Linked DNA regions of Nothobranchius furzeri. The protein of the gene in region 2 purifies or fractionates together with the protein of the main gene of each other region. This does not show direct contact. Links are inferred from orthologs where the notes say so. Each region holds a gene or a part of one and is shown on either strand. Other genes may lie near its edges.

What was found. Proteins that work in one complex are often made in the same cells at the same time.
Region 1: the proteins of hspa12b (region 2) and eef2k purify together in Homo sapiens (affinity purification with mass spectrometry; 3 studies listed by BioGRID and IntAct, with this or other methods). This does not show direct contact. The link is inferred for Nothobranchius furzeri from reciprocal best matches to the Homo sapiens genes HSPA12B and EEF2K.

What each region holds. Positions count from the first base shown.
Region 1 is NC_091756.1:44,629,809-44,634,635, reverse strand, and holds part of eef2k (eukaryotic elongation factor 2 kinase), read left to right. Parts: coding exon 1-32; intron 33-114; coding exon 115-247; intron 248-325; coding exon 326-453; intron 454-563; coding exon 564-783; intron 784-871; coding exon 872-942; intron 943-3,681; coding exon 3,682-3,759; intron 3,760-3,968; coding exon 3,969-4,025; intron 4,026-4,221; coding exon 4,222-4,287; intron 4,288-4,692; coding exon 4,693-4,824; intron 4,825-4,827. UniProt on the Homo sapiens protein: Threonine kinase that regulates protein synthesis by controlling the rate of peptide chain elongation.
Region 2 is NC_091754.1:61,298,256-61,303,727, forward strand, and holds the start of hspa12b (heat shock 70 kDa protein 12B), read right to left. Parts: upstream 3,615-5,472; 5' UTR 3,474-3,614; coding exon 3,324-3,473; intron 680-3,323; exon of another isoform or gene 361-679; intron 1-360.

The DNA.
Region 1 (4,827 bases), on a different chromosome or scaffold from region 2:
TGAGGGACGACAACATCCGCCTGACCCCACAGGTGAGCGGCGCCACCTTTTAGTTCAGAAAACCAACTCAGCTGATGGTCCAGTATCCAACTCCCCTTTTTCTTCCTCCACCAGGCCTTCAGCCACTTCACCTTTGAGCGGTCGGGCCACCAGCTGATCGTGGTGGACATCCAGGGAGTTGGAGACCTCTACACGGACCCTCAGATCCACACGGAGAAGGGGACGGACTTTGGAGACGGAAATCTAGGTTGGATAGACGATTTGATGCATGTTTGAAGCAGAAGTGATTCCAGATGTTCCGCTCTGATTAACACCTGTGTTCCAGGTGTTCGTGGCATGGCTCTGTTCTTCCATTCCCACCTGTGTAACAAGATCTGCAAGAGCATGGGCTTGACGCCTTTTGACCTGGCCCAAGCAGAGCAGTCCCAGATGGACTGCACCAGCAAGCTACTTGTAATTTTAATACTTTGATAAAGTCTCAATTTGGAATGCTTTACATGTTTGGTGTGTCTTCGTTAGTCCTGTCATGTTTTAGCTCTAAGTTTCACCTCGTTTCCTGTCAGAAGTCGGCCCAGACGGTGCTGAGGGGGTGTGAGGAAGTCTGCGGCTCGCCTCGTGTTCAGACATTGTCTGCCAGCCGGGTGCCTCCGCTGCTGTCCCGCCTGTCAGAGACCTCATCTGCAGACGAGAGCGCGAGCGACATGGACTCGGTCTCCTGCTCGCCTCTCACCCTTCCCTTCTCCCCCATAGTGATGAGCGGGTCGATGGGCAGATCAGCCTCAGGTGCGTTCCTGTCCGTTTGTCTGCAGGAGCACGGTGCATGAGGAATGGACTAGTGTGTGAACAGTTGGTGTTTTCCTACATTTTCCAGGCATGTCCCTCTCTGGAATGGTTGAACATGACAGACTCAACAACAACAACAACAACACATCTGATCATAAGGTGAGCAGTCAAGTGTTCTCAGTGTGTGTTGTTTGCTTAAACACATTCACAAAATCTGCCTTTAGTCAGTTAATTTGGGTTAAAACCTCTGATTTAAGTTTCAAAGCTCTTAAAATTATTGATTTTAAAAATATATTTGTTCCGGCTCTTGGACAGTGCAGACGCTTTTTTAGTCCTCTCCTCCCTATCTTACCCTCAAGGCTTTTTGTCTGTCTTTGGGTGCACAGCTGCTTCTGCATTTTGTCTGGAAACTGAAATAACTAAAATGGATCTTGTCAGTTGGTCACTTAACGCGATGGATACAATTTTTTCAACGATGAGAACGGCTTTGGCACAAAAGATGGATGCCATCAAGGAGAAAGTGGACGAATCAGCACAGGTTGGGATAGATTAATGTCCATTATTGGGATTTTGAGAGGTTGAGGACCAACAGAACTTTAAGACAGAGAGGAAATTATCTCTGTCTGGCCCCAAAACAATTTCTAATCTGAATCTGGTGCCCTTGAACCTGTGAGGCTGCGACGAATACTCCCGCTCAGAAGAAATGTGGAATGCTGCCGTCGCTATGGCAACTCTGTCTCCTATCCCAGCCTGGGCAGGACTGCGGGCTGTGAAGGCCGCTGAATCGTTCCAGGAGTCACTGTGCCCTCCAAACCTCAACAACCTCCTTCTCCTGTCCAGACTGAGGTGACATGCGCTGCTTAACGTTTGTCTGCTGGAACTGACGTGTGGAGAGTCCCAAACCCACCACCCCACCTAGTGAACACTTATGTTGTGTGATGTCTGAAGTCTGTTGCATCTCTCTGTCTGAGGTGTTTTTTGCATAGCAAAGCTGCCCTCCCTGTGGAGGGTAACACCTTCTTTCCACCGGAGCTGTCAGCAGCACGTTACTGCAGCAGCACGTCTTGCTCGCGTAAGCTGCTGCTTGGCCTTTCCCACGAGACGCGAAGCAGCAGGGGAGCAGCTGCCACCGACCGAGCACGAAGTCACACGAGTGACTTTGTCAGTGAACACAACAACAAGCAGGAGAAAATTACAACATGGTTCCAAAAGGTTTGTGTTTTATGTTCTGTCCATTTTATAATCGCCAATACGGACCTGAAAAACAAAGGAGACCGTTAGCTAGGTGATAACTTCTCACGGGCCGCACAGTTAGTAACTTTTTTTTTAAGTAAAGCAACCGGAAGGCAGTATGTTTGTTTATTCTGAAAATCTCGGGAAGCTTCGCTCCATTTTCACGTCCGATTTCCTGTCTTTCCTTCCCCAAAAATGTCGAACTTGACCCGTTTCAGAGGCGCTGCGCGTAGAAATAGAACCGGCGCGTAAGGGCCGCGACATGCTGCTCCTGAGATGCTGCCGACTCGCGCTGCTGACGGTTCCGGTGGAAAAGGTTCTGTTGACCACAGCGGTTCCTATCAGCAGCTATGACGTGCTGCTGACGGCTCCGGTGGAAAGAAGGGGTAACTCTGAAGTGCCTTTTTTTCCCTCCACCTGAACCAATCCTCATGTAACCCTCTGATCTCTATTAAGGTACCGCAACTCGGGTTGCAAATGACCACAGTTACCAATTCTTGTCATGTGTCTTTGCCCATGTATGTCTGATCTCTGAATTGTGTGTACTGAAACGCTCATTTCCCTCTGGGATTAATAAAGTATCTTTGAATTGAATTATTATTCAATTTTTACATTCTGCATCATTCCTGCATTTATTTTTGTCTGTGGGCTAATTTCTTAGCCAAATTTACACTCTCAGAGTTGCTTACAAAGTTGAATTATCTTCTCGGTTACGGTTGATTATTTGTCTTTGTTTGCACAGCTTCTCCCTTACAGTGAGGATTATGGGAATTCAGCTAATTTCAGCATGTGTGTAGCCCTTTAGCAAACAAACATCCCTCTGGCCCCTGGGTAATGAGGCCTTGCAGAGTTCCAGAGCGGATTTGTTGAAAGGCTGACCACAGTTGAGTCCAGTGCAACAATGAGAGTGTTCATAAGCTTGTGGAAACAGATCTGCCCGAAACAATGTTCTGGACCAACAGTCCTCCTTTTGTAACAGTTGGTTCCTCTCTCAGAAAGGTATTTTTTATTTTTGTCTACAGTGACTTTTGTTTCTTTTCCACTGTGTGGGTAAAGCAACAAGACCAACACGACATGCCTGAGAGCAACACTAAGCAGCCAGGGTTAATAAAAACATCTAGCGTTTTGTACACAGAGACGACGGGTCTCCAGGGGATGTTCTTTTCTGTTTTTACATTGGAGTTTACATGGATACGTGTTGCAGCCCATTAGCTGCTTCCTACAGTGTGCTGCTGCACATATCCTGCTGGGTGACGCAGCTGTGGTGTAGCGCTGTGGCGTGAGGGAGTTGGTCCTGTTTCTGGAAGGTGGTCGTGTCAAAGCTGGAATTGCATGAACACTGAGTCATAAAGGGGATTTTGAAGTGTGTTTGTGGGTAAAGGTTGTTTAAAAATACCTGTTAGATTATAGATTTCTGAAGAGCCTCGGTTCAGAGAAACAGAGTTTATGACTAAGCTACGAAAACTCAACGCAGCACTAGCCTGGACCTCTTGAAGGCACCATTTCTCTGCAGTCTGATCGTCTTTCTTTAAAGACAATCTAGTAAGGACTGCAATTATACACTGTGGTTAAACATTAAGTAATGGGAATAGAAGAGTAGAGGTTTAGTTCCTGCTTCAGTAAAAGTGTCAGAACTAGTCCTGAGTTTTGTTGTTGTTTCTGCAGGATTCAGAGAGCGGAGGAGACAGCGGCTACCCCAGTGAGAGGAGGAGCGAAGGGGAGCCAAACGACCACGTGGACGGGGTAAAGACTTCCACTCAGGACTCGTTTTACAGCAGAAACGAGGAGACCGATTTATTTAACATTTAGTAACACGTTTGGTCAGATGTGTGTTGGTGTTCTAGGCTAGAGATGAGGTTCTCTGAAGTCTGTTCTGCAGTTGACCACATTACGTTTGGCTCTCACTAGAGCTCCTGGCAGCAGGTTTTGATGCATGTTGTATCGTCACATAGGCCCATCATCGCTACCACAGAACTTATTCTGAGTCGGATGACGACAGTGTCAGACGGGTAAACAAACAAAGATAAATGTGTGTGAATTCAATCATAACCGTTCTCGCTCTAATCCAATAACACAATCATCACCCTTCATCATCATCATCAGTGTTTTCTTTTCTCTACATCACCTGGTTGACACTGAAAAATCATTCCTCACTTTTTCCTCATAATTTACCCCCTCATCTTCTGTGTCCCCCCCCCCCACTAGAGGAAGATGGTAGCTCCTCCAAGAGTCTCCGCAAACTTATATTCACAAAGTCCCGACATTCAATGGGTGACTATTATTTGCCCGAAGGCTTGCTAGCTGACTGTTTTCCCAGCTCTGTGCAGTGGTTTTGCTTTAAAGCTTCACTTTTTGCTGATAATTTACCAAGCATGAAGATTTGTATCAATAATCAATAAGCTGCAGCTGTTATCAAGCTCACACCTTTACTGCTTCAGCTGAGTTACAAATACAAATTCATTTAAAAGAATTGACTTTCAGACTGAAAAACCATCTACCTCCAGGTCCCTGATGTTTGCCACTCAGCTAACTCGCCATCATCTCTTTGTTTGGGCTTCTCTTTTCTCCTGCTGTCGTTTGCCTCTGGCGTCTCTGAGTGGATGGGGATGTGCTCCTCCAGCTCTGAGCTGGCGTTTGTCTGGGTGAACTCTTAACTGGTTTGTTTTCTCTGCTCAGCTGACAGAGGAGAAGTGGAGCTTCTTCCATTCGTCTCGTGCTCACGTTCACCGGCCTTCCTGTGTGGCCACCGAGGTGGAGCGCCTCAACACTCTGCTGCAGAAGAAAATCGGACAGTCAATCCTGGGAAAGGTG
Region 2 (5,472 bases):
TATTTAAACGTGTCACACCAAGTATCATTTTTCCTCCTGAAGTGATGATCAAACCAGAGAGAGGCTGAAACCAGGAAGCCCCTCCGTACGCGTTCCTTCTCATCGCTCATCATCTGCTCAGATTTAACGTGCTGTGACTGACGTATGACCCTGAGCCTTTTCCACGCTTCACTTTCTCTGACATGAGCCTGAAACCTGCAGCAGGTCAGCAGAGTAGGCACCTAAACGGACGGCGTTCCCATTGGGATCCATGTTTACATTAATGGAATAAACTTTTACCAAACAACCAACAACATTCAGTTTCTGCATGACCAACGGCGCAAATCATCAAAACGGTTGTATATTTAAGAGATCGCTCACCGCTTTGAATGTTCCACACCGACTGTAGCTGGATGACAGGAGTATTCCCAAACTGTAGAGTTTTCCAGACTTAGAATCAGCGTCTGAGGAAGAAAGATGGATGAAAGGAGGACAGGGGGAAACTGCTGCAGGATAGTGGAGGATGCTTTTCTGAAAAGCTCTTGAAAAACTTGGCGCTTCCCTACTTTTGGAGAAGTAAATGGTCCAAAACTAGAAAGTGGAAAGTTTTAGCTGGAAACTTTCTTCCTGATCTTGATGGTTTTTTGTCCCAGAGGAGCTCAGATTCGGATTTGCAGCTCCGTCTCTCCGCTGCAAACAAATGTCAGAGGGAGAAGCTGTGACACATGAAGCAGGAGTGGGAGGGCTATGACGTCACAAGGGGGGGGTGCTGGGGGATTTACCTCACCGGGATGAAGTAAGTCGGAGGGTGGAGTGAGTTGGAGCTGCATCCTGATTGACTCACTGTGTCCTCTCGCTTTCCTCCTGCTCATCCTTCGCCTAATTAGCTCTTCCTGTCTTCATCGTTTTTACTTTTCACTTCACTTCTTTTTTCTGGGCCCTCAACTTCCCGTCGAACCTTCTCAGACAAAAGCAGGAAGCAGCCAGGTGTGCTCAGCCAAACATGAGCGATGAGCGTCACTGCGAAGCTTCTTTTTAGTTTCATCTGAGCGAAGAGACTCGTGGAGAAAAGTGAAACGTGGTTCTCGTTGGAAACCAAAAATATTTCCCTTGAATGTGATTCTTGCAGCGACGTCTCAGTGCATCTACTCAGTCCAGAAACGGCTCGTATTTACTGTCAAACTGCTGAAATGGTTTTCTGAACTTGTTCTGTCCGTTTCCGACCTAATCGGGTGGATCGTTTGGATCTTTGGAGTCATGATTAGTCGGCGTCTTACCTGAAAGCAAAAAGAGCAGATGACCACAAAGTGTCCTGCAGCGGTTTCACTTGTGTGGGAAAATCCAGAAAAAGCATATTCTGTCATCAGTAGGGACTCCACCCCTGTCGTGTTGGACAACATCTCTTATATTTATGTTTTGTAGTACCTGGCGGTTTAGCTCAGGTAGATTCCTGGCCGTGGAACACTGGACCAGCTCAATACCCATTGGGGGCGTCCTGGAAGTGGGGTTCGCCCCACCGATCTACGTGTTTTGTGGATTTTGAGAAGGTGTTCAACCAGGCTGGATGGGGGGCCCTGTGGGGGGTACTCTGGGAGTATGGGGTACCAGGCCCTCTGATACGGGCTGTTAGGAGCTCGGTCCGCATTGCCGGCAGTAAGTCGGGCTCGTTCCCAGTGAGAGTTGGACTCCGCCAAGGCTGCCCTTTGTCACCGATTCTGTTCACAACCTTTATGGACAGGATTTCTAAGTGCAGCCAAGGTGGAAATCTGTTTTGGTGGCCTGAGGATCAGGTCTCTGCTTTTGCAGATGATGTGGTCCTGTTGGCTTCATCAGAACGTGATCTTCAGCTTTCACTGGAGCGGTTCGCAGCCGAGTGTGAATCAGCTCCTCTAAATCTGAGACCATGGTCTTAATTCAGAAAAGGGTAGAATGCCTTCTTCGGGTCCGGGGTGAGGTCCTTCCCCAAGTGGAGGAGTTTAAGTATCTCAGGGTCTTGTTCACGAGTGAGGGAAAGCTGGAGCGTGAGATCGATAGGCGGATTAGTGCTGCATCTGCAGCGATGCGGGTGTTGTACCGGTCTGTCGTGGTGAAGAGAGAGCTGATCCAGAAGGTGAAGATCTCGATTTAGCGGCCGATCTACGTTCCTACCCTCACCTATGGTCATGAGCTTTGGGTAATGACCGAAAGAACGAGATCGCGGATACAAGCGGCCGAAATGAGTTTTCTCCGCAGGATGGCCGGGCTCTCCCTTTGCGATAGGGTGAGGAGCTCAGCCATCCGGGAGGGGCTCGGAGTAGATCCGCTGCTCCTCCACATCGAGAGGAGCCAGTTGAGATGGCTCTGGCATCTGGCTAAGACGCCTCCTGGACACCTCCCTGGTGAGGTTTTCCGGGCACGTCCAACCGGGAGGAGACCTAGAAGAAGACCCAGGACACGCTGGAGGGACTATGCTTCAGGCTGGCCAGGGAACACCTTGGGATTCCCCCGGAGGAGCCGGCCCAAGTAGCTGGGGAGAGGGAAGTCTGGACCTCCCTGCTTAGGCTGCTGCCCCCGTGACCTGATCGGACGATAATGGATGGATGGCTAACTCCTTACCTTCCTACGTTTAAAACTAAATGTTTAGAAACGCCTTCAGATTGAGACACGATTTGAGCTAAAATATCCTGTTTTAAGTCCTATTGCAGAGATTGTCACACCTGGCTGATCTATACCACTACAGTAACTTCTACTGGGAGACTAGAGCTCTAGACCTTCATACACCTGTATGTATGATGCACTCCTGAGTAGCAGAACATCTCACAACGTTTTAAAGCTTGTTTAAAGAGTCACCACACTGAACAGATGTCTGTAAGCATCTGTCTGATGAGAAAGTACAGAAATGTAAAAGAGTAGTGGAACTTGTAAAAAGTTGCAGAAGTTTAAACCAGACTAAAGTCTCCAGAAAGCCTGACTGACTTTCTTCTTGATTCTCCAAACGGAGATCATGTTTATTGTTGTGTATCGCTGCTGAGATGGTAACGACTACTCCACACAACTCTAAAAGAGGGAGAGAGAGAAAAAACCCAACTCGGATTGTTTCATTTGACAAAGAGCTCAGAAAGGTCTCTTCTGATTTTTGTTTCCGCGTGTTTTTGTTAGAGCTTGTGGTCTGGCTCTGCAGGGATCCGATTTCTCCCCAGTAGAGCTGTGACTGAAAGCAAGCATTAACCCCCAAAGCTGACACACACACACACACACACACACACACACACATGTTCGAGTACACTCAGTCTCCTTGTCCTGTCAGATTTCCAAATCAAATTAGCTGTACGTGTGTGTGTGTGTGAGAGTCTGGAAGCCATTACCTGGCACGTCTCTTTGTTGACCAAAAACCAAGGGGCCCCATAGAGATCCTGCCACCATCTCTCTCTCTCTCTCTCTCTCTCTCTCTCTGTTCCCTCTCTCTCTCTCTCTCTCTGTTCCCTCCTTATTGCCTCCTTTATTGTTCGTTCCATCCGTCTTTTGCCACTCCTGAAGGACAAGATTTATTGGCTCAGTCCTTCTGATATTTTCACAATCTTTAGAGTGTGCTTGTCTTAATAAATCATCTCTATCCCATTTGTCATCAAGCCTGATTGAAGCCATCGGTGCCACCCTTCTTCTTCGCTCAAACGCAGGAAACTCGAAGCAGGAAGTGATGGAGTCAGGTGACAGGAAGGAACCCCTGGGTGACTCACTTTATCTCTGGGTCCCTGGAAGTCCTCGAGCGACGGAAACACACCCAGTACATGGGACACACAAGCATGAGTGCACACACACACACACGTTTCCCTGTTGGTTCTTTAAATAGCCCAAAATGTCAACAGAAGCCTGAATGAGAACTTCCCAAGATAGCAGCTCTATTGATCCAAACCACATGCAGCATGGTCCACTTCTGTTACCTTCAACAGTTTTATTACTTCTGAGTGGATCCTGTAGATGCTTGATGCACACATGTAGATAAAAGTCCACGAAGCTCAACCCATCCATCCATCCATCATCCATCCATCCATTTTCATCCGCTTCTCCGGAGTCGGGTCGCGGGGGCAGTAGCCTAAGTCGAGAAGCCCAGACTTCCCTCTCCCCAGCCACTTGGGCCAGCTCCTCCGGGGGAATCCCAAGGCGTTCCCCGGACAGGTGAGAGACATAGTCCCTCCACCGTGTCCTGGGTCTACCTTTAATCAATCAATCAATCAATGAATCAACTTTATTTATATAGCACTTAATCCTACAATACATGCAACTCAAAGTGCTTAACAAATTAAAAAGGCCCCACATACCCATCCCTCCCATCCCCAGAATTTAAAAACAGTCTGACAATAAAAACCCCTTCACACAACACTCCTCCACGGACACACACGCACGCACGCACACACACACATACACGCCCCCTTCCCCATGGTAAAAAAACATGATTGGCTGAGCTAAGATGAGCCAGACCAGCTAAGACAAGGATAAGGAAACACTATCAGGGGAGCCATCCGCCCTGACAGCAGCAGATCCACAGCAGCAGCTGAGGCACCGACACCGGGCGCCCAGGGCAGGGAGGGCAGAGACCCCCACCACCACCCAGGCACACATGGAAAGCGCCCAGGCTGCCACAGCCGACCACCGCCGCCGGGGCAGAGGGCTCCTTCCGGTTGGACGTGCCCGGAAAACCTCACCAGGGAGGCGTCCTGGAGGCATCCTGACCAGATGCCCAAGCCACCTCAACTGGCTCCTCTCGATGAGGAGGAGCAGCGGATCTACTCCGAGCCCCTCCCAGATGACCAAGCTTCTCACCCTGTCTCTAAGGGAGATCCCAGCCATCTTTCTTATTCTTGAACTTCAGCTGTTTTGATAAAGGTTCGATAAACACAACTAGAGATGCTCCAATCAGGGTTTCTGCTGCTGATCATCCACACCGACCAGCTTTACTGCTCATACATTTTCCATGAAGCTATAATGAGTGCTACGGACTATGATCTGGGAACAAAGGAACAGAAACAGTACCTAAACTAACACGTATCAATTTAGACAAAAATGTGTTTTTACTTTTTAAAGAGAAAAAGACTTGCAGCACCATCGGTGTGCTTGTTTCTGACCACAACTTCTAGGCCAGGGTTCATAGCTGAAGACGAGATCTTGGATGAGAGGCAAAGTATCTTCAAGAAAACCAGAAAAGTCCGGGTGTTTTCAAATAAATCTTTGGAGAAGATCATGTCCATGATGAATGATAATTTACACACTGAAGCACGAAGCATCAGTGACTCAGAAACCTAAAACACTAAAATGTAGCAGCTGTCAGTAACAATCTAACAGATTTAAAACACTATAACCTCTAAAAAATACTCACAACTTTGTGTGTTGTTAGATTTATTATCATTAACATTATTATTATTAATGTTGTTTTTTTAGGGATTTCCCGATCCGATCACATGGTTTCGGCTTTACGTCCCGATCTGGACTCGGAAACAGGGTCCAAATTACATTCTT